7 linked regions of the Cricetulus griseus genome follow. The protein of the gene in region 2 purifies or fractionates together with the protein of the main gene of each other region. This does not show direct contact. Links are inferred from orthologs where the notes say so. Each region holds a gene or a part of one and is shown on either strand. Other genes may lie near its edges.

What was found.
Region 1: the proteins of Ssrp1 (region 2) and Paf1 fractionate together in Homo sapiens (co-fractionation; 3 studies listed by BioGRID and IntAct, with this or other methods). This does not show direct contact. The link is inferred for Cricetulus griseus from reciprocal best matches to the Homo sapiens genes SSRP1 and PAF1.
Region 3: the proteins of Ssrp1 (region 2) and Mcm7 purify together in Homo sapiens (affinity purification with mass spectrometry; 4 studies listed by BioGRID and IntAct, with this or other methods). This does not show direct contact. The link is inferred for Cricetulus griseus from reciprocal best matches to the Homo sapiens genes SSRP1 and MCM7.
Region 4: the proteins of Ssrp1 (region 2) and Mms22l purify together in Homo sapiens (affinity purification with mass spectrometry; 3 studies listed by BioGRID and IntAct, counting the BioPlex papers as one, with this or other methods). This does not show direct contact. The link is inferred for Cricetulus griseus from reciprocal best matches to the Homo sapiens genes SSRP1 and MMS22L.
Region 5: the proteins of Ssrp1 (region 2) and Srpk1 fractionate together in Homo sapiens (co-fractionation; 3 studies listed by BioGRID and IntAct, with this or other methods). This does not show direct contact. The link is inferred for Cricetulus griseus from reciprocal best matches to the Homo sapiens genes SSRP1 and SRPK1.
Region 6: the proteins of Ssrp1 (region 2) and Zc3h18 purify together in Homo sapiens (affinity purification with mass spectrometry; 3 studies listed by BioGRID and IntAct, with this or other methods). This does not show direct contact. The link is inferred for Cricetulus griseus from reciprocal best matches to the Homo sapiens genes SSRP1 and ZC3H18.
Region 7: the proteins of Ssrp1 (region 2) and Chd1 purify together in Homo sapiens (affinity purification with mass spectrometry; 3 studies listed by BioGRID and IntAct, with this or other methods). This does not show direct contact. The link is inferred for Cricetulus griseus from reciprocal best matches to the Homo sapiens genes SSRP1 and CHD1.

The regions. Positions count from the first base shown.
Region 1 is NC_048602.1:7,488,776-7,491,108, forward strand, and holds the end of Paf1 (RNA polymerase II-associated factor 1 homolog), read right to left. Parts: intron 1,447-2,333; coding exon 1,341-1,446; intron 1,233-1,340; coding exon 1,142-1,232; intron 1,058-1,141; coding exon 639-1,057; 3' UTR 501-638; downstream 1-500. UniProt on the Homo sapiens protein: Component of the PAF1 complex (PAF1C) which has multiple functions during transcription by RNA polymerase II and is implicated in regulation of development and maintenance of embryonic stem cell pluripotency.
Region 2 is NC_048599.1:90,498,068-90,502,104, forward strand, and holds the start of Ssrp1 (FACT complex subunit SSRP1), read right to left. Parts: upstream 2,801-4,037; 5' UTR 2,667-2,800; intron 2,191-2,666; 5' UTR 2,070-2,190; coding exon 2,016-2,069; intron 1,605-2,015; coding exon 1,419-1,604; intron 1-1,418. Other genes in the region: P2rx3 (P2X purinoceptor 3), read left to right, coding at 3,012-3,042. UniProt on the Homo sapiens protein: Component of the FACT complex, a general chromatin factor that acts to reorganize nucleosomes. The FACT complex is involved in multiple processes that require DNA as a template such as mRNA elongation, DNA replication and DNA repair.
Region 3 is NC_048597.1:116,878,958-116,882,975, forward strand, and holds the start of Mcm7 (DNA replication licensing factor MCM7), read left to right. Parts: upstream 1-1,218; 5' UTR 1,219-1,342; coding exon 1,343-1,373; intron 1,374-2,109; exon of another isoform or gene 2,110-2,260; intron 2,261-2,649; coding exon 2,650-2,729; intron 2,730-3,501; coding exon 3,502-3,666; intron 3,667-3,750; coding exon 3,751-3,875; intron 3,876-3,946; coding exon 3,947-4,018. Other genes in the region: Ap4m1 (AP-4 complex subunit mu-1), read right to left, coding at 56-152, 231-337, 677-765, 856-913. UniProt on the Homo sapiens protein: Acts as a component of the MCM2-7 complex (MCM complex) which is the replicative helicase essential for 'once per cell cycle' DNA replication initiation and elongation in eukaryotic cells.
Region 4 is NC_048595.1:117,167,652-117,171,599, forward strand, and holds the start of Mms22l (protein MMS22-like), read right to left. Parts: upstream 2,801-3,948; 5' UTR 2,504-2,800; intron 2,403-2,503; 5' UTR 2,391-2,402; coding exon 2,224-2,390; intron 1,504-2,223; coding exon 1,378-1,503; intron 1-1,377. UniProt on the Homo sapiens protein: Component of the MMS22L-TONSL complex, a complex that promotes homologous recombination-mediated repair of double-strand breaks (DSBs) at stalled or collapsed replication forks.
Region 5 is NW_023276806.1:233,711,155-233,714,654, forward strand, and holds part of Srpk1 (SRSF protein kinase 1), read right to left. Parts: intron 2,075-3,500; coding exon 2,049-2,074; intron 1,650-2,048; coding exon 1,436-1,649; intron 1,068-1,435; coding exon 666-1,067; intron 101-665; coding exon 1-100. UniProt on the Homo sapiens protein: Serine/arginine-rich protein-specific kinase which specifically phosphorylates its substrates at serine residues located in regions rich in arginine/serine dipeptides, known as RS domains and is involved in the phosphorylation of SR splicing factors and the regulation of splicing.
Region 6 is NC_048596.1:199,058,590-199,062,089, reverse strand, and holds part of Zc3h18 (zinc finger CCCH domain-containing protein 18), read right to left. Parts: coding exon 3,458-3,500; intron 3,227-3,457; coding exon 3,161-3,226; intron 1,208-3,160; coding exon 1,047-1,207; intron 938-1,046; coding exon 738-937; intron 292-737; coding exon 198-291; intron 1-197.
Region 7 is NC_048595.1:294,596,785-294,600,993, reverse strand, and holds the start of Chd1 (chromodomain-helicase-DNA-binding protein 1), read right to left. Parts: upstream 2,801-4,209; 5' UTR 2,667-2,800; coding exon 2,614-2,666; intron 1-2,613. UniProt on the Homo sapiens protein: ATP-dependent chromatin-remodeling factor which functions as substrate recognition component of the transcription regulatory histone acetylation (HAT) complex SAGA. Regulates polymerase II transcription.

The sequences.
Region 1 (2,333 bases), on a different chromosome or scaffold from region 2:
CTCCACGAGCTGGTCTAGTCTTGTCTTGTTCACTTCCCATCAGGGTGACTGACCCTGCTTGGCACTGGAAGGTGGTAAGGGATACCCTCCCCGAGAGGGAGGTGAGAGCTTGCCCCCCACCCGACAGCAGAGTGCAGGACGCAGGCGGCCCCACTCTGACAGGCAGGACCCTGACCCTCCTCCTCCCCCATCCCCTCCATGGTTTCACCCTACCCTACCCACTTTTGTCCCCAGCCCCACTGGCAGAATCAGCTTTGAGTAACTGTACATTTTCTCGCTGTTGGAGAAGACTTATTTGTTGGAGTTTCAATTGTTAATGGTCTGGGCTTATTTTGGAAAAAAAAAAAAAAAAAAAAAAAAAACCAAAAAGATTGTGATTTTTGTTGCAATGCATTTCTTGGGAAGTCCATGGGGCTTTGCGTTTGTGCTTCAGGCGGAGGTCATGGAGCACCTGGGGTAGGGATGGGTTGGAGGGGACGAAGAACTGAAGCTCTGGGAGGTGAAGTCAAGAGAAGTTGACTTTATTAACAGCAAAGATTCGAGGGGTGGGGACGAACAAGGGGCTCACAAAACAGACAGCTAGAAAAGTGCTTCCCTGCCCTAACGGTGTGTGCGCTGGCCTCAGGAGGCCTCGCGGCTCAGTCACTGTCACTCTCAGCCTCACTGGAATCAGAAGCTGCAGCTTCACTGCCATCCTCCTGAGCTGAGTGCTCGCTGCCACTTTGGAAAGGGCTGGCACTTCGGCTCCGGCTCTGGCTGCGGCTCCGCTGGCCGCCCCCATCACTGCCACTGTCCGAGTCATTGTCACTGCCCCCACGGGCCTGCCCTCTGTCCTCCTCATCAGAGTCGGCATCGTCCTCTGAATCAGCGTCGCTGCCGAAAATCTCTTCCTTGTCGCGGGCAGCACGAGCTTCGTCCTCGCTGCTCTCATCCTCGCCGCTGCCACTCTTGTCGCTTCCCTCCTCCCTGTCACCCTCCTCCCGGTCGCTCTCGCTGCCAGAGCGCTCGTCCTCGCTGCCTTCCTTCTCACTGCTGCTGCCTTTCTCCTGCTCCTCATCTGCCAGGAAGCAAGGACAGGTGAGACCCCCACTGCCTGCCGCCTTCCCAGAGCTCCCAGGAAAGGGTGTGACCACTCCTTTACCTGAGCCCCCAGCTTCCTTCTCTTCAGCCTCCATCTCCTCCTCCTCCTCCTCCTCTGGTTCGTGGTTTTCCAACTGGGCCTTTCGTGCCTCCTAGAACCAGTGAATTGGGACGAAGATGGAGGGTGTGTTCTGTCCTCACCCACCGCTAGCCTCCCCGTGGGGGTCCCGTGGGGGTCCTAGGCCAGCAGAGTTTGTTACCTGAGCTTCTAATTCCTTCTCATTCATGTCCCGGTGTTTGACCACAAGCAGGGCATTGGTGCCTGACTGAACCCCAGCCTTGGCCCGACGCTTACTAAGACGGACCCTGTAGTGGACAATTGCAGAAGGGGGAAGATTCAGTTAAAGACCGTCTCACTAGACACCTGGTTCCCTATCACTGTTTGGCCCAGAGCATAGCAGAGTACAGAGTATACATACAGTGTACATGAGAATTATGGAGAGTTAATGTCTGTGATTTGATTTACCCAATTTTAAGTTTTTGGCTTTAATTTTTTTTAAGTGAATGGGTGTTTTGTGTATGTACCATGTATGCAGTGCCCTCAGAAGCCAGAAGAGGGCATCAGATTTTCCTGGCAACTAGTGTTGACAGGCTGGAAGAACAGGCAGTGTGCTTCACGGCTAAGCAATTTCCCCAGGCCCCTTACCCAACTTTTAAAAACAAGGAAGTGGCAAATTTTGGGTTTCTGGCTTTTAAATAGGAAGGACATAGCAACAGTAGACTGAGGCTGGACTGTACTAATCACTAGTGTTGTCACCGGCCTATTGTCACATCCTCAGCCCAACTACATGATCAGAACCTGTCATCTCTGCACTCAGCAGAAACTCAAACCACAGGCAACAGGACAAGTTAACATTCAGCCCTCAGAGGAGAGTTCTGAATTGACACTTTTTGGTCAGGTACTTCATTTAAAACCCGCTCAAGGGTCGGGGAGGTGGTTCGGCTGGTCCAGCGCCATGGTGGAGGGGGGGGGGTTATCCTGACTTCCTATCATAGTACGCATACAAAATACAAGCACGGGGAAACAACTGACAGCAACCCAAATCACATATACAAAACTAATAACACTGTAGAAACGAGGGATGTATCTTAATAGCAGGGCACTTGCCTAGCATGTGTGAGAAAAATGACCATGTTTATATCCTGTGTTATGTAAAGATTTTTTTTTTTCTGGTTTATGGTATTAGAACCAG
Region 2 (4,037 bases):
AAAAGTTCAGCAATGTATCCTTTATCAGAAACCATAGTTAACTGAGCATGTCAATTCAAAACCTTTAAAAAGCCAGGCAGTGGTGGTGCACACCTTTAATCCCAGCACTCGGGAGGCAGAGACAGGCAGGTCTACAAGAGCTCGTTGAGGACAGCCTCCAAAGCCACAGAGAAACCCTGTCTCGAAAGAACTGTTTAAAAACAATTTTGCTTTGTTACTAGAGGCTGTTTCTGGGACCCAGATGCCCTCAGCCATGCTCTCACAGATGTCCTTAATCTTTTTTGTTTGTCTTTGGAGGCAGGGTTTCTCTGTGTAACAGCCTTAGCTGTCTTGGAACTTGCTCTGTTTACCAGGAAGGCCTTGAACTCACAGAGATCTGCCTGCCTCTGCCTTCCCAGTGCTGGGATTAAAGATATGAGCCATCACCGTCTGGCTGCTAGCCACATGATGGCTCCATGGTTAAGAGTACTTGTTCTCCCAAAAGATTGGGTTCGCTCCCCAGCACCCACATGATGGTGGCTCACAACTGTCTGTAACTCCAATTCCTTCTTCTGAGCTTTGAGAGCACTAGGCATACACATGATACACAGCCATACTTGCTAGCAAAGCTCATATACATAAAATTAGTTTTGGTGTTTTGTTTTTTTTTGTTTTTGTTTTTTCAGACAGGGTTTCTCTGTGTAGCTTTGGAGCCTATCCTGGCACTCGCTCTGGAAACCAGGCTGGCCTCAAACTCACAGAGATCCGCTTGCCTCTGCCTCCCAAGTGCTGGGATTAAAGGCGTGTTTGATGTTTTGTTTTTGCTTTGTTTGTTTTTTTTTTTTTCAAGACAGGGCTAATCTGTTTAGCCCTGGCTGTCCTGGAATTCGCTCTTAGACAGGTTGGCCTGCCTCTGGAGTGCTGGGATTAAAGGCATGCACCAACACCGCACAGCAAAATAATTTTTTAAAAAATAAAAATATCTTTTTATACCCCCCCAAAAAAAACCCAGGTTGGGAGAGGAGTAAAGGAACTTCCAATCCCAGATGTATGAATCACCTTGCTGAGTTTTTAAACTCTGTATAGGTGCTCTTTTGATGAAACTGGATATTAAAAACAAGTAACTCAAACAGCTCAAAATGGAAAAACAAAATCTCAGAGCTAAGATTCTGAACCAGGACAGAAGGAGCAAGTGGAAACCACTATCTAAAACAAGATGTGAGAAAACCTGGAGTCCGGGCACAAAGAAATTCACAAGATAACATTTGCAATGAAAACAGACAGTAGTGTTTTGTTTAACAGTCTCCAGTTGCCCTGCTCTGAGGAGCCCAAACCAGCAATGACATGATTATCAGAACACCAACTGTCTGTAGAAGATTAAAAATAAACAAGACAGGGCAGTTACAAAAGGAGAGAGTCATGGCAACAAGATCTCTCACCGATTCTCGGAAGCCATCATACTTGTAGACATGGCCATTTTTTGTAAGCAGTTTAAGTCCATGGCCCAGTGCTACCCGGCGCCAGATGCCTTCTGTCAACTCCCCAGCCTGGATATTGTCCACTTTGCCGGTCTTGCTGTTCTTAAAGATGATACCCTGGCGGCTCAATCGTAGCCTCCCATCATTCTGTCCAAAATACAGAGCCAGATTCAGAACAGGATACAGTGTTAGCAGGTCCACTTTACCCCTCACCTGTGTGGTGCTGATGCAGGATGGCCAGATTATCAATGGAAAAGCAACAGTTCAAGTGGTGAGAGTGAGATCAAGTCAAAAGACACAAGAGACCTCAAATCAAGACCGAAAGCTTGGCTCTGGTACCCGCAGCCTTGTTAACCCCAGTTTCCTGGTTTTTAACACAGGAGTTTAGGATAGATCTACACGTGCAATCTCTTCAAACTGAAGAGCACAACTCTTGAGACTCTGCTGCTGCTTTTGCAGATACCCTATTTCCAAAACTGCAGTCAGGGTTAAGCTTTTCTTAATGGACACGAACTCTTCCCGATTTCTACATTTACTAAAAGACCAAGTCATTCTCACCATGGACCCTTTCACCTCCTGGAAGATGTCGTTGAACTCCAGTGTCTCTGCCATATTCACCTGTCTTGGTGGCCTGAGCACAGAGCCCTAGGCTGCACCAGAGCAAACGAACCCTTTTCTGGGAGCTGGGCCCCAATTCCTGGTGAGGTGTGTAGATGTTCAGCAGGGTGGGAATCTGAATTCAGGAAGGAGATTGATAAACAAGTAAAGACACCACCTTACCCCGCTCACCCATGGATAGCTGTGCCTAGACTGGATCGTCTCAAGTTCTCCAGCGCCTGAGGACCTTACAGACCCGGCTCTGCAGCGTTCCTGAGGCCAAGGCCCAGGACCCTAGGTGCAGAACCAGGCCTGTAGTGGCGCTTACACCCCAACCCGACACCCTCTCGGGACGTTCCATCGACAGTCCACGGCAACAATCGGCGCAAGCCCGGGACCTGCTCAGAGAGCGCACCTCAACTCGCTCGGAGAGTAGTGTCCCGACCCCAGCGATCCCACACCCCGAGACCCCCTGGACCCACGTTTCTCCCCCTCCTTTTAATATGGATTCGCCCACTGCCGGCGAAATTGAACGCGGAACGATCCATCTCGAGCGTCCCGCGGGGGAGCAGGGCCCATGCACACCCGGGACCCGGGATCGCGACCACCCACCTCTTTGAGCTGCAACCTCGCGACGGCACAGCACGGGCGGTGGGCGCAGGGGGACGCGGGGGAGGAGGTAGGGATGCGGGGGAGGGGACGCCGGGGAAGCTTTTCCCGCGTGCGCGGTCCCGCGTCCCGCCACCGGAAGTCGCGCACAAACCATAGAGAGGAAGACCTGGCTAGAAAGACACCAGCCGGGCGGACCAACGGGACGGTCTCCTAGAGCGTCGGTACCTTGGGCTAGTGACGGTCTTGCTGTGGAATCCCACGCGGCTGAATTGTTAACTAGGAAATGGGAGCTCTCTTTAGAAAGTTGCAAACCCTTCTAAAAAGCGGAGATTCTGAAGAGAAACTATGAAGTTTTATCAGGCTTTCAGGTTTGTTTGTATGTTGGAATCATTCATGTCCCTCTCTCCTGTTAAAATAGTCGGGGAAGGAGTCTTTTGGAAAGAGAAAATGCAGACCTATGGCCAAAATGACGCCCCCACTAGCCGCAAACGGAATGCGGGTGTCGGTGACTGTGCTTGCTTTCCAGCTGTATCCTGGCAAGTGGATCGGATCCTTTCTGAAATGAGTTCACCTTCCACCCCCAACATCATCCCATCCATATCCCTAATATGTGGGTTCTCAGGAAGAGCCTGGCAGATGGCCGCATTAACTTCCAAGTGCTGGTGTCAGATTTACCTTTGAGCTAGGACTTACTTGAAACCACATCAGCCTGAGTTGGCAGAACCCGGATGCCCTCACATAGCGCCAGGGTACATCTTGCAAAATCTGAAGCCGGGTCTGAAAGAGATGCTTGAGTTTATCTCGCCCTTCCTCATTTTACAGATGAGAAAATTGAAACACACAAAAGATTTGCCCAGGGTGTAAGTACATTGGCATCAAAGCTAGAGCCCGGAATTCAGATTCCTTAACATCAGCCTTTTATCATAACCATGAGGGTCCAACCTTTAGAGTAATTGCTAGCATGTGCCCTGCATAAAGACAGAATATTTAAACTCACGGTTTTCCTGACAATCACTGCACTGATTTGCTAACTCAGTCCTGGGATGTGAGACAGTCAAAATGCAGTCTTGCCATCTAGAATTTGTGGCTTTAACCCCTGGGTTAAGCACTGCTGTTTCTAGCACTATTTAACTGAGTCAAACTGGGTTTAAGACATGTAATGAGAGCCTATTGTTAAAGCATCACATTTCTAGGATTTGAGGAAACCATTGAAGATGGTTAAAACAGTCCCAACCTTTCAGGAGCACATACCCTAACCAAAGATTCAAGTAACCTGGGGGTAAAAAAGAAAATTCAGAAATTTCTATACAGCAAGAAGTGTTTCAGCCACTGCTGCCAACTGCAGTTAGAAGTAAGTGAATTTCCACTTTG
Region 3 (4,018 bases), on a different chromosome or scaffold from region 2:
TATACATAATAAATAAAATCTTAAAAAAAAAAAGAGGGAAGTCTTTGGGCTTTACCAGTACTTCATCCAGCAGTTCATAGACAAGAGCCACATTCCGTGAGACGGTCCCCTCACTGAGTGAGCCACAGTAGTCACACAAAAGAGTGGCTAGCCTAAGGAAACACAGTTGAGTGTGTGTGACTAACCCTCTCAGGCCCTGCTTCTTGGGTGCCCATCCCAGCCCCACTCACCTGGAAAGCAGCTCGAGGAGGCTGAAAGGAGAGACGTTTTCAGAGGTTGTGGCCACCAAGTAGAGGCCACTGTGTCTGATGTGGATGAAATGACGGTCATCATGGTACTGCGGCAGAGTTGGGGAGAGAGGCATTAAAAGACCAGAATTGCAGTAATGTAGCCCACGAGATGGCATCCTAAGGTTGCTACTAGTGGGTGATCCCTGAAACCTCCCAACTACCTGGCCTCCTAACGTGTAACCTACCTCTCAGGATTGTTGACAGTCAAGTGATGAGGGTGCAAGGCTGTTGCTGGCATCTTGTTAGCACTCAGTAAATACACTTGGAGAAACGTATCCCTTCCCCTCCCTGGAAGCTTCCTATCAAGCAGCCCTTGAAAGGGAGCGATGAGGCACCCACCAAGCTCTACAGTCCTAAGCCCCTGCAAGCCCGCCACAAGTGGTTACCATGACAACCGGGGACTCGCCTCCAGTCAGTCCCGTCAGCTTCCGGTAAAAGAGCTCGGCCACATCACGACCACCACTGTCCCCGCGAACTGGAAGGATAGTTAAGGAGCAGGCGACCCAGAAGGCTCTGGGCTCCACTTCTACCGACTACTCCGCCCCGTTTCGCTGGCCAAGGATACAGTCTTTGTAAATGAGTGGGTCCCCCTTGGAGGACAGAATGAAGAACTGGGAAATCATGGCCGTGCTGGAGGGCAGACGAGAAGACGGAGAAAGCTGAAGCCACCCCGCCCTGCGGCCGACGAACAAAAGGAGGCACGGAGGCTGGCGCTTTAAGAAACACTCCTCCCACTTCCACACGGGAGGCCGTAACTCTGAGCCGCGGGAAACCCGGCGCCCCACCCGCCGGGCCAGCACTCTCCCTGCGGCCCTCCCCCTCGCTGCCTGTCACTCGCCCCAGACTCGCCCAGGGATTGGTTGAAACTGGGTGCCGGCAGCGGTTAGGGGCCCCTGCTCTGATTGGCCCGTACTCAGCGGCACGTATCACGTGGGTGGCGACGTTTCGCGCCAATTTCGGTTGGTGGCTGCATCGCGCCGCGCGCTTGCTCTGCGCTTCCCCGGAGTGAGGCTTCTCGGCTCGCCGGCTCCCGTCGCAGGTCCCCGGCAGCGATGGCGCTCAAGGACTACGCGATCGAGAAAGGTGGCGTGCTGGGAGCGGGCTGGGAGCGGTTCTCCGCGGGCTTCTACGCCTGCCGAGGGGAGCCGGGGTCTGTGTCGGGGGGCCCGGCCTGCGCCCGGGACGAGCGTGGCGGGCATCAGGATGGGAGCGATGCGGTTGTGTGAGGAGCAGGACCCAGCGGGGCCAGGTAGAGGAGGGCGCCACCCCGCACCGCGCCGCGCCGCCGAGACCCGGGTGACGTGGGGCTCGCCTGCAGCGCGCGGCTCGCATGCAGCGCGCGGCCCGAGGGCCCGGGGAAAGGGGGGGCCTCTGCCTCTGCTCTTTGGGGCGCCAGAGAATTCCCGCGTCCACTCGAGACGCGCCGGGGTTCGGGGGCGGGGCTTGTCAGGCCGCTGCGCGCCGGGATTGGTTGTTTTAGTCCGCCCTCCAAGCGGAAGTAGAGGCGGGCGGAAGTGGCGCTTCCCTGTCGGAGGGAGTGTCGTGTGTAAACAGTGTCCTTCCGCGCAGGGGCTCGGGGGTAGCTGCGGCGGGTAGGGGCGTGCCTGGAACTGGGAGGCTGAACGCCCGGCGGCGAGAGGTGGCAGTGAAGTGGCCCCGAGTGGCCCTCTGGCGTGCTGGCCAATCGCCGCACGGCCAGCCGCCTCGGGCGGAGGGATCCTGGGCTGTGAGGCGGCTGGAATCCGGGCCCATGTGCTTCTTTGTTTACTAAGAGCGGAAGCGGTGGCGGGAGCGGGGTGTGGGGTGCGGGGGAGGCCTAGCGGCGGTCGTCCTGGCGGGAGTAGAAAAAGAGTTGTACGGGTGGAAGGAGGACCGAGAGTCTTGAAAGTCGATCGTGTGCGAGCTGAGAGAACGGAAGAAACTGAGACTCCTAACTGGGCAGTGAGTCACATTCTCTTTGGAAGCTTGGGGTAAGACTCTCGTAACTGCCCAGGGACCTGTATCCTTCCCCGGGTAAAAGCAGACTTGTGAAAAGGGGTACTGCCCGCTTGGGGGAGAACTAGGTAGGCTTCTTTTGACTGTTCATTTAACTAATTAGTTCATAGGTCCCGTCCTAAATGAAAGTGGGTTTCTTAGGCTTCCGTTGAAAATTTAAAGAATCCGAAAAGGTAGATTGTGTGTGCTGCACGAACATACCACTACTTGCACGTGGGTGTTAGATACAGGCCGAGAGTGTGTTCTCTCCCAGCCTGTGGGTGGGGCCCAGGGATTGAACTCTGATAGTCAGGCTTGGCCGCAGTGGTCTTTACACCTCACTGTTCCTTAAGATTTGTTTTTGAATTTTTACATTTGTTTGTAGAAAAAGTTAGAAAATTCCTGCAAGAGTTTTATTATGATGATGAACTCGGAAAGAAGCAGTTCAAGTATGGAACCCAGTTGGTAAGTCCCAGGATTGGTAATGGGGGGTTGGAATAGCATGTAAGAACTTGTACAAGGTGGTCTACCTTGTTACAGCAAGTATGGCTGTCAGTGGATTTTTGTTTGTTTGTTTTGTGGGTTTTTCGAGACAGGGTTTCTCTGTGGCTTTGGAGGCTGTCCTGGAACTCACTCTTGCAGACCAGGCTGGTCTCAAACTCACAGAGATCCACTTGCCTCTGCTTCCCCAGTGCTGGGACTAAAGGCGTGAATGATTTGGTTTTGGTTGTTGTGTACAAAGTTTTTCTTTTTAGCTTTGGGTTTTGTCTTTTTTTAACTGTTTGAATTATGTTTATTCGTGTATGTGTGGGCTTACATGGAAATGGAGGTCGAATGTACAATTTGGGGGTCCATTCTCTCACTGTGGGTTCTGGGGATCAAACTCAGTTCTTCAGGCTGGGTGGCAGTGCCTGGCCCATTGAGCCATCACCCCTATTCTTGGCTCTTGGTTTTTAGAGATAGTATTTGTGTGACATGGACTGGCCTCAAGAATACTTCATGTGGTTAAATAGCTGAGATTGGCTTTGAACTCCTGATCATCCTGACTTGTGCCTCCCAAGTACTGGGATTACAAGCACACTGCCATGCTAGACTGTAGTGGCTAGTTTAGCAGAGTACTTGTCTGGTATGTGGGGCAGTGTTTATAGGAGTCAGGAAGTTGTTTTCGGGGCTGAAAGTGTTTCTGCACTGTGATCTTTTGTTTTTGTGGATGTAGTAAACTTGGTCCTTGCCTCAGGTTCATCTGGCTCATCGGGAACAAGTGGCATTGTACGTGGACCTAGATGATGTTGCTGAAGATGACCCTGAGCTGGTCGACTCAATTTGTGAGAATGCCAAACGCTACTCAAAGCTGTTTGCTGATGTTGTACAAGAGCTTCTGCCTGAGTACAAGGAGAAGGAGGTAGGTTGCTGGTTTCTGAGCTCTCCTGCCCGATAACCCCCATTCTTTTCCTGTCCTGCTTCTCACTTTCCTTGTCTTCTTTAGGTGGTGAATAAAGATGTTCTGGATGTTTACATTGAGCACCGACTGATGATGGAGCAGCGGAGCAGAGACCCTGGGGCAGTCCGGAACCCTCAAAATCAATATCCTTCTGAGCTGATGCGTAGATTGTAAGTGTCTTTGTGGGTAAGGTCAGGAACTTGTTCTCCAGGACCTTGCTGACAAATGTTTTCTTCTCTAGTGAGTTGTATTTCCAAGGCCCAAGTAGCAGCAAGCCTCGAGTGATCCGAGAAGTGCGGGCTGATTCTGTGGG
Region 4 (3,948 bases), on a different chromosome or scaffold from region 2:
CTTCATCCTATATCCAGACTCCTACCATGCCTTTCTGTGATGATGGACTGCAACCTGTAAGCTAAGTTAACTCTTTTCTTGCCAAGTTGCTTTTTGTCATGGTCTTTAATCACAGCAGTAGAAAAGTAAACTAAAACAGTTATATAAATGAAAATTATACATATAAAGCCATAGATTGCCTCATTTTAATTCCTACTTGCCTCCAAATTCTATTGGAGAGACTCATTCATTGTAGGAGAAACTGTGGCCAGCCTACCCAAGGAGCAGTCACCCTGTCACAGGTGCTCGGGCCAGCACACACGGCTGTAGGGACACCTGACCCACAGACGCCAATAGGACCTTGGGAGGGGGTATAAAGGCAGGCCTAAGTCTGCAGCAGCCTGTGCTACTCAATGACTCCTGGTGCCTGAGTCATTGGTACTGCATCTTATCTTCTCACCCCCTCCCGCAAGAGGTGTCTAAAGAAGGGTAACCAGCAACAACTCTTGACAGGCCAGGGTGGCAGACACCTTTAACCCCAGCAATCAGGAGGCAGAGATACTCACAGGTGGGTATCTGTGAGTTCCAGGCCAACATAGTCTACAGAGCAAGGTCCAAGACAGTCAAACACAGAAACCCTGTCTCCAAAAACCAACCAAAACAAACCAAACAATAACAAAACCCATTCACTATAATGTTCACAATTATAGAAAATTCACTCCCCTTCTTCTCTCACGCTAGAGAGATGACCTCTGTGAGCACCACGCATGCATGTATACATTCATACAATCACACATTCGTTAATGTGTGATTGTATGAATGTACAATCACTTAAAAGGAAGAACTTAAAATACAGAATACATCAAAGATACACTGGCATCTCTTTATGAGGGCTCACAGAATGTAGTTTAAATCTTTAAATACTTGTCTTCGAAACAAGGTGTCACAAAACCAAGGCCAGGCATGACGGTACACACCTAAAATTTCAGCACTCATTAGGCTGAGCCAGGAGCATTGCTGTAAGTTTCAGAACAACCTGCACTACACAATGAATACAACTGAGACTCTGTCTTAAGAACAAAAACAATGCATATACAATGTTATGTATAGAATATTATACACACACGTAAATATTTATTCAATGCAAATATAGCTCAGTGGTGCGATGCTTGCCTAACATTTACAATAGCCTGTGTTTTATCTCTAGCATTGCACACACAGTAATAAGGACTCTGAAAAGCAATATAAACAACTCCTTAAAACCGTTATGTGGATAATGGTAAGACGAACAAAACAAAAGCAATTCCCGATGCTTTTGTAATCAGTATTGGGAAACACCCAGCAATGTAAAACTAGACAGCATCTAGAATCTGGGGTTAAAAGCAGACATACATGTACCTGAATAAATGAAAGAGCTCTCGACATGAAGTTGCTAATGCTGTTTCGGTAACCCACTGGATGCCAAATAGTTCTACTGTATCCTCTTCAAAGTTAGTTGGTAATGGATCAAGATTTAAAATCAACCTGTAATGAGAATGGCGACTTAAACATTTGAATCCAGGCTATACGAGGCATATATAAGTCAGGAAATGCTTGGGTATCTACACCTTATATTGCATAAAATAATGGCAATGTGGCTCAAAAGCCTAAAAGGATTCTAGGCAATACACACGGTCATAGTATTTTATCTTTGAACAACTGATGGGTTTTTAAATCACCAAATATTCTGAATTATGCCTGAGGGATAACATTATGAAGTTATGTAATGTGCTTTTAAGGTTGTTAAGTGGGTATAACCACAAAACCAGCAAAAAAAAAAAAATGGTTTCCTCCATTAATAAAAATAATTCAAGAAAAGCCATTTTACTGCAATTTACTGCAAACTCAACCAAAGTTAAGTCTATGACTCTGTATGCACAGACAACTTAGGGCTGGAAAGCACCCAGAGCAACAAAAACCCAGTTGCGTCCTTACTTACAAACTACTGAAAACTTGTAGACTGGTACTGTCCTTAAGAAGAAACACCAACTCCAATAGCCTAGGCTGCTGCTCAGAAAGCAAGAGATTATCAATGACCAAGAAAAGACTCAAAACCCAGGCAAGGCAGACACACTGCCTGGAACCTTCTAGGTACTATACATACCAAACAAGATTTGGTGGGCACCAAAGTTCAGACTTCAGTACCAATTAAGCAAACATAAACAAACACTGATGGGGAGCCCTCGATTAGTTTTTGTTACCTACCGCTTAAGAGCGCCACTGGCAAGGTAGGACTCTCCAGAAAACAACGCTCCTTCTCTCTTGTCGAAAGCGCAAGAAAAGCGAGGGGGCTTGCACCACTCCGTGCCCAGCTCCAGCTCCAAACTGTCCGTCAGGAACGTCGTGGACACGGCAGAACCGCCATCCATCATTCACATCGTGCCCTGAAATGACACCGTGGTACCTCACAGTCACCTCCAAGGCTTGGGAGAGAAGCTGGAGCACGCTGAAAAGTAGCCGAGGGGCTCGGAAACCCACAACGTGCCTTCAGCCAGGTCTGCAAACATCCGGGCGTCCTCTCGGGCCCCTCTGACCAGCCTCCCAACGCCGCCCTGGCTCCCTCCCGGCCACAGGGGGCTGCTGAGGCCCCCCGCGCACCTCAGGCGGCTTTCCTGGCGCGGACAGGGATGCTACAGACGGCCCCGCCGCCTCTGTGCCCTCCAGCGCGGGCCACCGTGACGGAAGAGCCCCGGGTGCAGCGAACGTTCCGCCCCCGGGAGACCCGCGGGCCGGCAACCAGAACGCGGAACACTCCGGGAACAAACCGGAAGCAGGCGAAATTCCCGCCACGGCGTGCCCCGCCCACGACGTGTCTGCCCCGCCCCCGACACCGCCCTCTCGCGATGCCTTCAGTGAAGCTAGTGGCAGAGCCCGAAATCTCGCGATAGCCTGTTGGTCCGGACGGATACCGAAGTCTGGAGTTTGTTTTTCTCCGGACTTTTGTGACTTCGGGAGGTGAAACCTCCTGAGAAACTGGGAGTTCTCGGTTTAGACGGAAGTGAGGAGGGTGTGAGAACAGCTGGACTCGGCTTCCGGTCAGCGGAGCTCCCGCCCCTGGTCACCCTCTTCCGGCCTCCCGGTGATGTAGGAAGCACGGTCCAAGAGAGCACCTTGGAAAAGAGAAGCCCGTGTACTCAAGCCACTGAATAATCAGCTTGCTTTTTCCCAGGCATGGCAACTTTTGCTCCTTTTGTAATGCATCCCGACAAAGTTGCAGTTTGGTGAAATACACAGACCACTCGTTTTCCTTATAGCAGTGTTCGTTAAAATTGACTTCTCAGGCTTTTTCAGCGTAACCAAGAGATGACTAACACATTTGCTTGTTACCATCTTGAGATGTAAGAGGTTAAGTTTGAACTCTAATCCTGGCTGTGATTCGAATATATAGTTGAACCTGTGTCCACTTCATTACAGAACCTGTCCTAACTCTTGTCTGTTTGAATTAAATACATCTTATTTTCTGACAGATTGGATAAAGTGAGAAAAAAAAACAGCAATATCTTTATTCCTGCCACAGGGTAGGGCTATGGATGTTGTATTTGTGCAGTTCAGTTGTACACTTGAGACCTGATGCTTTTTTTTTCCATTCATTCATTTAGCTCTAAATAAAGTCATGCACAATTATGATACATAATACAGTATGTTCACAATGGCATGGCTAAATTAAACCAATTAACATGTTGTGTCACACATATTCATTTTTGTTTTGAGAACACTTAAAGTATACTATCTCACAACTTTTAAAGTATAGCATATGTTATCAACCATATTTATCATGCTCTCAGTAGACCTCAAGACATCACAGAGTCCATGCCTCTTGCCCAACTGCAGTTTTATATCCAGAAAATTGTCCAATTGTGCTTTGTCATATTTATAGTCTTGACTTGTCTAGTCTCTATCATGAATGTCTCTTCCACAGTAATTTCAAGA
Region 5 (3,500 bases), on a different chromosome or scaffold from region 2:
ACCCAGCAGGCATTCCCAAGATCGGCGATCTTCACTTTGAGTTTTTCTGCATTTTTTGGCTCAAGGGGATTAATAAGAAAATTTCCAGCAGTGAATTTTCCTACAGACAACAGCCATTATCAGTTAAAAGAGTTAAATGAACACAAGATAACCTAAGGGAAACAAAAGTCTCCAAGTTAAGATTTAGACGATCCCCAGGAACTTCTCCTGAAGCTTTCTTTGTAAGACTCAAGTTTCTTTCTTTGCTTTTTTGGCTTTTAGAGACAGGTTTCCCTGTATAGCCCTGGCTGTCCTGGAACTCACAGAGATTCACCTGCCTCTGCTGGGATTAAAGGTATGCGCCACCACAGTCCACTAAGACTCAAGCTCCTAGAGCATAAAGCCCCTGTAGACAGATGACTGGAATGCTCTGTCCCCACTCTAAAGCTAGCCACAGATCTACACACTGGAAGTAACTTGAACAACTGCTCCCTCGAGATGTAGCTCGGGGTAGATTTTGCCCAAACTACACAAAGTCTGCCCAACCCCACTTCAACCACTGTAACAGACACCCCTGTCTCCCCATGGGGAAAAACCAAACCAAACCAAACAGATGCCTGGTGTAAAAAAGCAGTTTGCCTAGGAATCCAAGAGCACGCTGTGCAGGGCGGGCGTCAGGGTGGTACCTTTGTTGTCCAGTGGTCCATTATGCTCCTGCTCCTGCTCATCCCCAGAAGGAATCTCTGCCCGGATGCTCTCTTGAAGGTGGCTGATGTCCTGCTCTACGGAGGAGGCCTGGCACACCATGGTCTCTGACACCTCAGAGGTCACAGGTGTGCAAGAGTCTGTTTCTGGAGATGCACTGCTGTCTCCATTTGGGGAGGTCAGGAAACTAGCTTCCTGCTTCAAAGTGTGCACACGGCAGTCATTAGCATTACGCAGGTCCTCTTTCAGCCTCAATGTTTCATTGTTACTGTTTTCAGTGTAATTAACGACTCCAATTACTCCATTGCAATTAATTTCTGTGTCACCACCCTCTACAGCACACTCCGTGAGGGTCTGATCCTGACCACTGGAACTTGAGTCTTCTAAGGAACAAACAGAAAAGGATGCGTGTGTGTACGTGCTGGTCAACAACAGATACTTCTCACAAGTTTACAACATTTCTAGCTTTTACTGAGTGACATAAAAACAAGACTAACAACCCTCTGACACCTACTGATGGAAGGACAAAGATCTCATCCTTACCCAGTAGCTACAAAGTCTATCTCCACCTCTGGAGGAGAAAGCAACAAGTTACACTTTACTATCACCTGCCTAGCATCATGGTAAGATCTGAATTCTTACAGGACACCCCCAGAGATGAGCTGCATACATGAAACCACACATTACATAACAGAGATAAACAGATGCTCAGGTATGCCATGAAGCCATGGTTGCAACGCTCTATTTATACCAAGTTTCTCTTGGGTCATTTTATTAGGTGGGTTCTCTGTCAAGGGTGTTTCAACAGGACTCTCTGATTCTTCTTGCTTGTTAGGTCTTTTTTGCCCGGGGCCCGACTCTTTCTCCATTTCCTCAATTTCCTGCATTCGCTTCTCTAGTAACTCTGCCTGGCGCTTCTGCTTCTTCTTCAATTTCTTCTTCTTATTCTTTGACATTTTGTCAGCCTGGGCGGAGATTACAAACAGATAAAGCCTTCAGGTGGCTAATCCATTACCCCTGGTTGGAGACAACTGATAACTTTAATTATTTCCTAATTAAATTCCACTCTTTCCCTAGTATTCCATTAATGCAAATCTGCAGAACTGTTATGAAACTTAACGAAATGACACTAACAGGTCTCCATCTTCTGTATAGTCTGGAGGCTGGGTCACCTCTATTCACAGAAGCCTCACCAGTATACAAACTTGCTGACGGTGTGATCAGATTTATTGGAGAAAATCATGGAAGCGCAGGAAATGGTCCTTTTCTTTGATTTTCACTCTAAATAAACCACTACCATCCATAATATGCCCGTGCCCAGTACCCAGAAGTTAAACACAGGAGTGCTGCATGCTTATACTTACTGGTTTAGGCTGTGGAGCAGTACTGACTGTAAAAAAAGAGAGAAAACACAGGTTTGCCAGAGTCTCATCCTCTCACACAGCCTACTTTCTCCAAGTGACAATGCAGGAAACTACATTATTTTTAAGAAAAACAATACATAGAAAGTGGCCAAACTTTTATTCAAGTAGTTTCTTAAAGTAGTTTTATTAGACAGGGTTACTTTGTAACAAATAGCTCTGCCTATTCTGAAACTCACTCTGTAGACCAGGCTGGCCTCCAACTCAGATATCTGCCTTCCTCTGCCTCTGTTAGGATTGAGGGCCTACACCACAACCATCTGGCTTAAAGAAGTGTTTTAGAGACAGGGCCTCTCGGTGTGCTGAAATTAAAGGCACGTGCCATCCTGCTCAGACTGTAAAATACTCTCTCCATCACCAGTACCCATCTATCCAGAGCCAAGTTCCTATTTAATCCCACAAGCGATGCTGCTCAGAACAGCACTTCTGCTGTCCATGCGTAAGCACCCAGGGTTCCCACCCTTCATGTTTTCCTTTTGCACTTTGTCTTTTATTAAAGCACAAAAAAGTATAGCCATAGTGTATAGCCATAGTGTTGCCATACATGTGCTCAAATTTCACCTTTCTACAAATTCCAGTCACCAGGCTTGCATGGCAAATGCCTTTACCTGATGGGTCATGCTGGATCACTTGTGAGTTTTAAAGGCGGACATCAAGAGCTAAGTAACCACCACAGGGAATATTACAGTTAACAGCACAGCTTTGGTGTGGTGTGGTGTTTCATTTTCCTTCCAAAAGTATTTACAGTTGTGGTTTAAAGGCATGATAGAAAATTCATTTTCTTTTCATCTTAGAAACTGAACCCTACCCATCAACTTTCATCTCATTGGGTATTCTTGAAAATAAGTCCTTAATAACTGGTGTTTCAATGTGTCTAGAAACATCATCAAATACAATTAAACTACTAAAATTAAACCTGCACCTCAAATGGAAAAATCACCACAATCGTTACTCACTGAGCACAGCATTGTGGGGGCTCTAACAACTGCTTCAATGGGAAATTTAAAACCCACAATTCCTGTTTAAGGGAAAATGAAACCAAGTGACTCAGTCAGGGTCTCCTCATCAATGAAAACAAACTAGCAGTTCTCCCTGGCAATGTCAGTAACTGAGCATGTGTGAGCACCAAGAGGCAAATACATAAAAACAGCCACCCAAGGAGCAACCAGGGACACACACACTGCTACAATCTAGGCAAGGAGGAGCCGAGGCAGAAGGATCAGGAGTTCAAATTTTTCCTTAGCTATTGTATAACAAGACTTCTAAAATTGGGGTCGGGAACATGGTTTGGCAGGTAAAGACACTTGCTACTGAGCCCAAAAACCTGGATCTGACCCCAGGACCCACATGGTGGAGAGAACTGACTCCAGCAAGCTGACCTCACATTAACATGCA
Region 6 (3,500 bases), on a different chromosome or scaffold from region 2:
ATAATGTTTAAAAGCAAAATGAAATCCTAGCTGCAATCTCCAGTGTTATAGTATGGGTGTTAGAACACCTGCAGAGGAGTTCTCAGGGTCCTCCATAGTTTTCAAAGCAGATGTAGTGTCAAGGCCCTGCAGGTGGGCCTTCTGGCTTATTTGTGGCATCCATGGTATGTCTCAGGCCCTGGACCTAGGAGACTCACCTCGGTCTGGGGTTAAGTTGGCCTTCTTGGCTGGAGGGCTCTGCCGGTCTTTGTCTGATGGCTCATAGCGCTTCCGGCTCCCTTTATCAGCCGCCTGAAACAGCACAATACTGTGAGGGTGGTAGGGCCTGGGTAGTCATTAGGCAAGGATGAAGGTGGTGGTGTATCTGAATGGTTCTTTGCTCCCATGGTCCTCTTTTTGCCCCCCTGCCCCAAAATCAGTTCTGTGACCCTTGTGACCGGGCCCTTTGTGTTGCATAGGGAAGTGCCTTTCAGGGCTCCAACATGTCAGGCCTTGGCCCTTCCAGATAGGTATGGAGCTTTGAGGACAGAACCCAGGCTTGCCTGCCTGCTGTCCCAGGGCTACTGTGTGGGGAGCTAGCCAGGCTGCAGTTACAGGCACATGAACTGTAACTCTGAGGTGCTAAACCTCTGCACTATGCTGATGCATCTTGGCCCATCTCTCAGCCCAGGGGCAGGGTGGAATCCCTAGCACCCAGGCCCAGGTGCAACAATACTGGCCTGTCCCCTTGGTCTCACCTTATTCAGCAGTGTCAGCTTTATCTCCTTGTGGGCAACAAAGGAGCCCTGCTGGGGCTGCCCAGGGGCTGTCTGCTGAGGTGCAGCTGACTGCTGGGAGGACTTCCCACCTGTCGGAGCTTTGGAGGACTTGGGTGGCTGTGTGGACGGGTCCCGTTTCCGCTTTTCCTCTCTCACTCCGTCTTCTTTCTTAGATTTCCCTGTCAATGACAAACCCTCAGTCATATGTTCCTGTGAACATGGACAGTCAAACAGTCTGTTTAAAGCTCACCCCTGAGCCCACACCCCTAGGGCATGGGTCCTGCCTACCTCTCTCCTTCTTGGTCTGAGCAGGAGTGGGGGATCGAGAGCTGGCTGAGGACACAGGACTGGCCAGGTCTGCATACATGTCTTCTGAGTCCACACTGTGCACTGAGCTGCTACTTGAGGTGGCGCTGGACACCGAGGAGACACTGCTCACACTCAAAGACCTAGACACACAAGCACAGCTGTTCACCTCAGCCCCATGAAACTGCAAGATGGCTGGGCTGATGGCAGTTGTGGGGGGAGGTGTCTCTATGGCTCATCTTTACCCAGTTTCCATGTTTATGGAATGCACATCAACAGTGTAAGAGATCTTGGGGCTTTCAGAGGTACTATATAAGGATAGGACAGCTATGTCATGAGCTAAGGTCTCTACTTTACTAACCAGGGTGACACTATGGTGAGAAGGGAAATGTGACTGAGCCCTACCAATGGTGATAAGGACTTATCTATCTATTTATTTATTTATTTATTTATTTATTTATTTATTTATTTGTTTGTTTATCTTCAAGAAAGGGTTTCTCGCTGGGCGGTGGTGGCACATGCCTTTAATCCTAGCACTGGGGAAGCAGAGGCAGGCGGATCTCTGTGAGTTCGAGGCCAGCCTGGTCTCCAGAGCGAGTGCCAGGATAGTCTCCAAAGCTACACAGAAAAACCCTGTCTCAAAAAACCAAAAAAACCAAAACAAAAAAAAAAACTAGTTCCAGGACAGCTTCCAAAGCCACAGAGACACCCTGTCTAGAGCACCCCCCCCCCAAAGAAAGGGTTTCTCTGTTTAGCTTTGGAGGCTGTCCTGGAACTAGCTCTGTAGACCAGGGTGGTTTCAAACTCAAGAGAAACGCCTGCCTCTGCCTACAAAGTGCTGGGATTAAAGGAGTGTGCCACTGCCACCCAGTATAAGGACATGCTTTTAAACTCGTTTATGGTGCACAACAGCTACAATCCATTACAATCCTCTCCAGTAAGTGGAGAGGGTAAGGCAGATCTGTGGGTTTCAGTGTAGCCAGGGCTTGATAGTGAGACCCTATCTTAAAAAACCAAAAGCAGCACAAAAGGGGTGATGACAGCTGGCAGGTGTGCCGGTGCCCAGCTTCCTGAGAAAACTGACTAAGTCCAGGAGTTCAAGCTCATCTAGGCAAAACAGGGCATCTCTCAACCCAAAACCAAAACCCTGGAGCACGGTAGTAGAGCACTTAGAACAAAATGCAAGGCTCTGGGTTTCACCTTTAGTACCACCATCGGGAAAAAAAAAAAAAAAAAAAAGAAAGAAAAAAAATTGGATGACAGTAATTAAACAAACAGTGACAGTTTCACTGTCAGGGACAGTGAACACAGGGCGAGGCTGTGGCCAGGGGGTAGGGGAGGATGGAGAGAGTAGATGGTGATTCTGTTTTGGCACAGTGCAGTACCATGACATGCCTATCACAAACACCAATCCTAAGGTCATCAGAGGCAGGGAGAAGACAGAAGAATCAAATTTCCTAGCTTTAAAGACAAATGGGGCTGGAGAGAGATGGCACAGTGGTTCAGAGCACTGGCTGCTCTTCCAGTGGGGCCTGGGTTCAATTCAGAGCACCCATATGGCAGCCTACAACTGTAACTGTAACTCCAGTTCCAGGGTCCTCTACCCTATATCCTCATACAGATATAAATGCAGGCCTCTACCCTATATCCTCATACAGATATAAATGCAGGCCTCTACCCTATATCCTCATACAGATATAAATGCAGGCAGGATATCTGTACATAAATAAAACACCACAAGTCTTTGAGACAGTGCAGACTGCTGACATCTTGGACAAGTGCTAAAACTCTGAAGGCTGACTTCATCTTCTAAATCCTTTCTGGTCTTCTTTAAGGGTTTCTCCAAAATGCCTAGGGATCAGCAGGCCCAGAGACCATTGTCTATCCTCAGGGAAGGAGTGGACAGAGAACTTGGGAGTGGCCTCACTTTGTCCAGCTGGGCTGTACCAGTCTGAGCCTCTTCCCCTAAGATGAGATGCTCTTGTGTTAAGGGAGCTATCTTCACTCTTGAGCTGTGTGCCCCTGGACCCTGAGGAGCCCCTAACATGGTGGGTGAGAGACAAAAGGTTGACATGGAGCAGGACCAAGCAACTGACCTGGATCGGGAACTGGAGCCACTGTAGCTGCTGCCACTGCCGCTACCACTGCCGCTGAGTGTCCGCCTGCAACACAAGCAGCACACTTCACCTCAGAGGCGGTCCTTGCCGAGGCAGAGCCTTCCTGCACACCAGGCTAGTTGTGGGCCTGAGATGTGCTCCAGGTTGGGCTTCTGCTCCCTGATGCTTCCCTGGTGAGACACCCACCTCCCAGGCTCTAGTTTTTATCAGCATCTACTCCCCGGCAGCACCAAGGATAAGAACTGTACCAGGATTACCACAAGCCCATATGCTCACCTCCTTGGGGGAGTTCTTGTTTGCCGCTCCTTCCTTCTTGCTT
Region 7 (4,209 bases), on a different chromosome or scaffold from region 2:
TGCCCAGTTGGAAAGGAAACTGCTAAATAATTTCAAAGGGTTTTTTGTTTGTTTGCCTGTTTGTTTTTCACCTCTATTATCAAACTGGCATTATTGCTGCTCCTAGCTTTAGATAGGGTAACACTGGAATAATTTAAGTGTTGAGAATGTTCCAGCAGGTGATCCCCTGGCTAAGCAGATAAGCTTCAAGAGTCTGACTTCCTAATAGGTAGGTAGCCTGGTTCCTACGTGTACTCGGCAAATAGCTACTTATTAACCATTGCTTTGCTCCTAATGAATGAGAGACCTTAAACAATGTAACTCTTCTATTCACTTACTACAATGGATCTACAGAAATCTGACTCAAAAGTTAGGTATAGCACTAGAGAGGCCAAAGACCACAGTAAATTCACAGCTAGGCAGGTCTACATAATGAGAATCAGGTGAACTAGGGCTACACACTGAAACTCCAAATCTCAATCTCCCTCCCTCCCTCCCCCTCTCTCTCTCTCCCTCTCTCTCTCTCTCTCTCTCTCTCTCTCTCTCTCTCTCTCTCTCACACACACACACACACACACACACACACAAATCCTCTAACCTAACTTCAACTCCATTGAATCTATAAACTCTACCATGTGTATCTTTACTCCAACCTTTTTCCCACTGACTTTTTAAAGCAGGGTCTGTGTAGTCCTGACTGTCCCTGAACTCCTATATAGATCAGGACGGCCTCGAACTCAAGAGAGCCACCTGCTTCTGTCTCCAGAATACTGGGATTAAAGGTGTGTGCCATGACACTGGTCCCTACTTTTATAGAATTATTTCAATCCTAATGTTGTATTTGGAAATATTCTAAAACAACTATTTCATGCAAGATTCAGGATTTGTTGGTTTGGCTTTCTGGTTTTTTTGCTTGTTTTAAATGTTTATCTAATTATGTATGGGCATCAAGTTTTTTTTTGTTTCTTTTAAATGTTTTAAATGTTGATGTAAGGGCATCAGAGAGCCATGGTATGCCTGTGAAGAGGACAACCTGAGAGAACTAATTCTCTCTTCCCAGGGTCTCAGGGATCAAATTCAAGTCAACAAGCTTGGCAGCAAGTGTCTTCTTCACACAGTCATCTTACCCACCCTCAACCCAGTTTTTTTGTCTTTTGGGTCTTTTTTGTTTTGGTTTGGTTTTGGTTTTTCAAGACAGGGTTTCTCTGTGTCCTGGAAATCACTCTTTAGACAAGGCTGGCCTTGAACTCACAAAGATCTGCCTGTCTCTGCCTCCTGAGTGATGGAATTAAAGGCTCATGCCACAGCTGCCCGGTTCAACCAGGGTTTTAACTTCTAGATCCATACTTGGTTGAACTAAAGTGTTTCTTCCATAACTGTTTATTTTATTCTCTATTTTCTTTTTATTACTGTTTTCATAAACTATCCCATCACTTCACTTTTCCTGTTTCTTGTCCCTCCCATTTCTCCACCACTACTTCAGTTAAGTGTCCTACATGACACTAAACATAATGCTAACTAATAATAAGCAAATACTCAATGCCCATTGTATCAGAAACCATGATAAGCTGACAGACGGTATCTCGTATAAGCCCTAATTTTTAGTAAATAATCGTGTAATTCCCATTTTACAAGAGCAAAAATCAGAACAGAATGATTTATCTCAATTCACATTGAGTAACTGACAGAGTTGGGATTAAGTGTACAGTCAGATTCCAACATCTACTGTGCTGACTTTTAAATATAAGTATATGAATATCTGGGTTATAGTATATAGTATATATGAATATATGGGTTGTAGCAGTAATGTGGAGACTACTAGAAATGTAGAGGGACCAAAAGAATATAATGGTGTTTGACCAGGCAGCAATATATGCCTGTAATCTTTTCAATTAAGACTGGGAAATCTTTTTGAGGCCAGCATGAGCCTAAGACCCTGCCTTTAAAAAGATTGTCTTGCACATAAAAATGACTTAACACTTAATTTCCATTAACTTTAGTTCTGAGAAATAATATGGTCCAAGTTAAAAACTCTAAAACTCCAATATGCAAATAAAATAGACTTAAGTTCACATCAATTTTGTCTAAAGTTTTCTTCGGTGGAGAAATATGTTTCCTATTAGTGCTGTCCAATATAGTGGACACACATCATATGTCATTTACTTACCATGTGAAATGTCTGGTGTGACTAACAGAATTTTGAACATTTTGTAATATAAATAGTTGCATGTAGCTGGTAGCTACTGCTATCACACTGGAAAAAAGCAGGTGTAAAACATAAAATTCCAGAAAAAGAGGAGTGTGGAAGTGCTTCATGCATTTATTTGGACAGTTGATTAACAGTCAAACCAAGTAATATTTCTTTACTGTTTCAGCTTCAATTAACTCAATATAAATCGCCAATACATTTAAATTGATCAGTTGTTCTCTGATATCTTCCCACTCATGCTCACGGACAGACAGACACAGACACAGACACAGACACACACACACACACACACACACACCTGTAACAGCTACAAAACTGCTATTAGGAGGATCTTTTTAACTTTGGCCTAGTAAAACGGTTTTATAAAAACACTCAAGCACACTTTCAATTCTCAAGTGGTCAGCTGATGTAAAGTGCCTGCTTACCTCGATTCCCCACTGCCATTTCTAACACTTTCTTCATCACTGTGTCCATTCATTGTAAATTTCAAGGAAAACACAAATCTTCCCACTTTAATAAAAGATGAATATAAATGGCAACTTCCTCGAATATCGAAATTTCAAAGACGAATTTTCTTCAACATTCACAGGGTTTCTTGGGGATCCTCTCTTGATTCACCTGGGGGAAATATATTAGCAGTTAAAAACATATCCTGTAGGAAAAGAAGTAAGTCCGACTTAGAACTCACAGAAATGTACCTAGGCCCTTAGACTAGAGGTGGCAAGGAAGATGGGGAAGCCTTTGACTTAGAATAACTAGGCATCTATTAAATACATTCTTAATTACTTACTAGAATCTTGCCTGCCACTGCTAGTGCTGTTTCGACAGAAGGAATTTAAAGATTTGTAGGGCAACAAACTTTTCAAGGCTAATTGCTACTGTGTAGCACTACTTATATATACATCACTAAAACAAAGTGGCACCATGTAACATAAATTTTTTTTGGTAAAGGTTACATTAGTGACGCTTTAATTCCTATTACCATGAACTTCATATTCCAGCTAAGGAAAGGTTTTAAATGCCCATATGGAAAAGGGTGTGATAAAAAGGTATCATGATTTTGACAAAAATGCAAACGTCAAAATAGAGGTTTTTATCAAGTAGAGTGAAAGGGAGGGAAAGGAAAAAAGAAACATTTATCTGATGTGGTACTTAGGACGCCTTGAAAAGCATTAAAAGGTTGATACAAAGAATATACACTGTATCTTCTTTTCCCGGCCGGCGATTGCCGGGAGGTGGGTACCAAGACAAACAGTATTTCCACCTCTCAAGATTTCGCCGGAGCACTAGAGTCACCTACAAGCCAACCACGAATAAACAAAGGAGATCTCTGGCAGGGGAGGGAGAGGAAGAAGCGGGGGAAGGAGACGTCAGATCCTTCCCCAGCCAGAAAGTACCAAGACACACACACACACACACACACACACACCGACAGGCAAGAGTTATCCTCTGACTCCAGCAGCGACTTAACTCTGATTCTTTCCACGCCGCAGAACAGAGGGTCACCCCGGGCTTCTGCCCACCTCGGCCGAGGCCGACTCCCTGCACCTGGTGGGTGGATCAGGATTTCGAACGTGCAGAGCTCAACCTTCCTACCTCTGCCAGGACAGGTTATCTAAAACCCACAGCACTCGACAGTAATTCCTGACGTTAACTATTAATTCCAGCCTGGGTGAAAGAACTCTAACTATTAAGCCGTGTCCGAGTCCTCCTCCACCTCCTCCTTCTCTCCGGAAAGTCTGCGCCGAGAAAAGTTCACTCGCCCGGGCGCTCTTTCCCTTTCACCTTCCTCTCGCCCCTCAAGATGGCTTTCCCCGTCCGCTGGACTTCCTTTCCAGCCTCACCTCCTTTCTCCGCCTCGGCGCCTTGCCCTCAAGTCCTGCTCCAGGCGCCCGGGACTCCGGACGCTCCCGCGCCTCAACAATGAGAGTCCCCCCGAAGTCGCCCAGGCTCTGCAAGCCTCCCTCCCTACCTCCCTCCCTCCCCGGCCTGGCAGTTGCCGGGCTCCGGCTAAGTTTGCC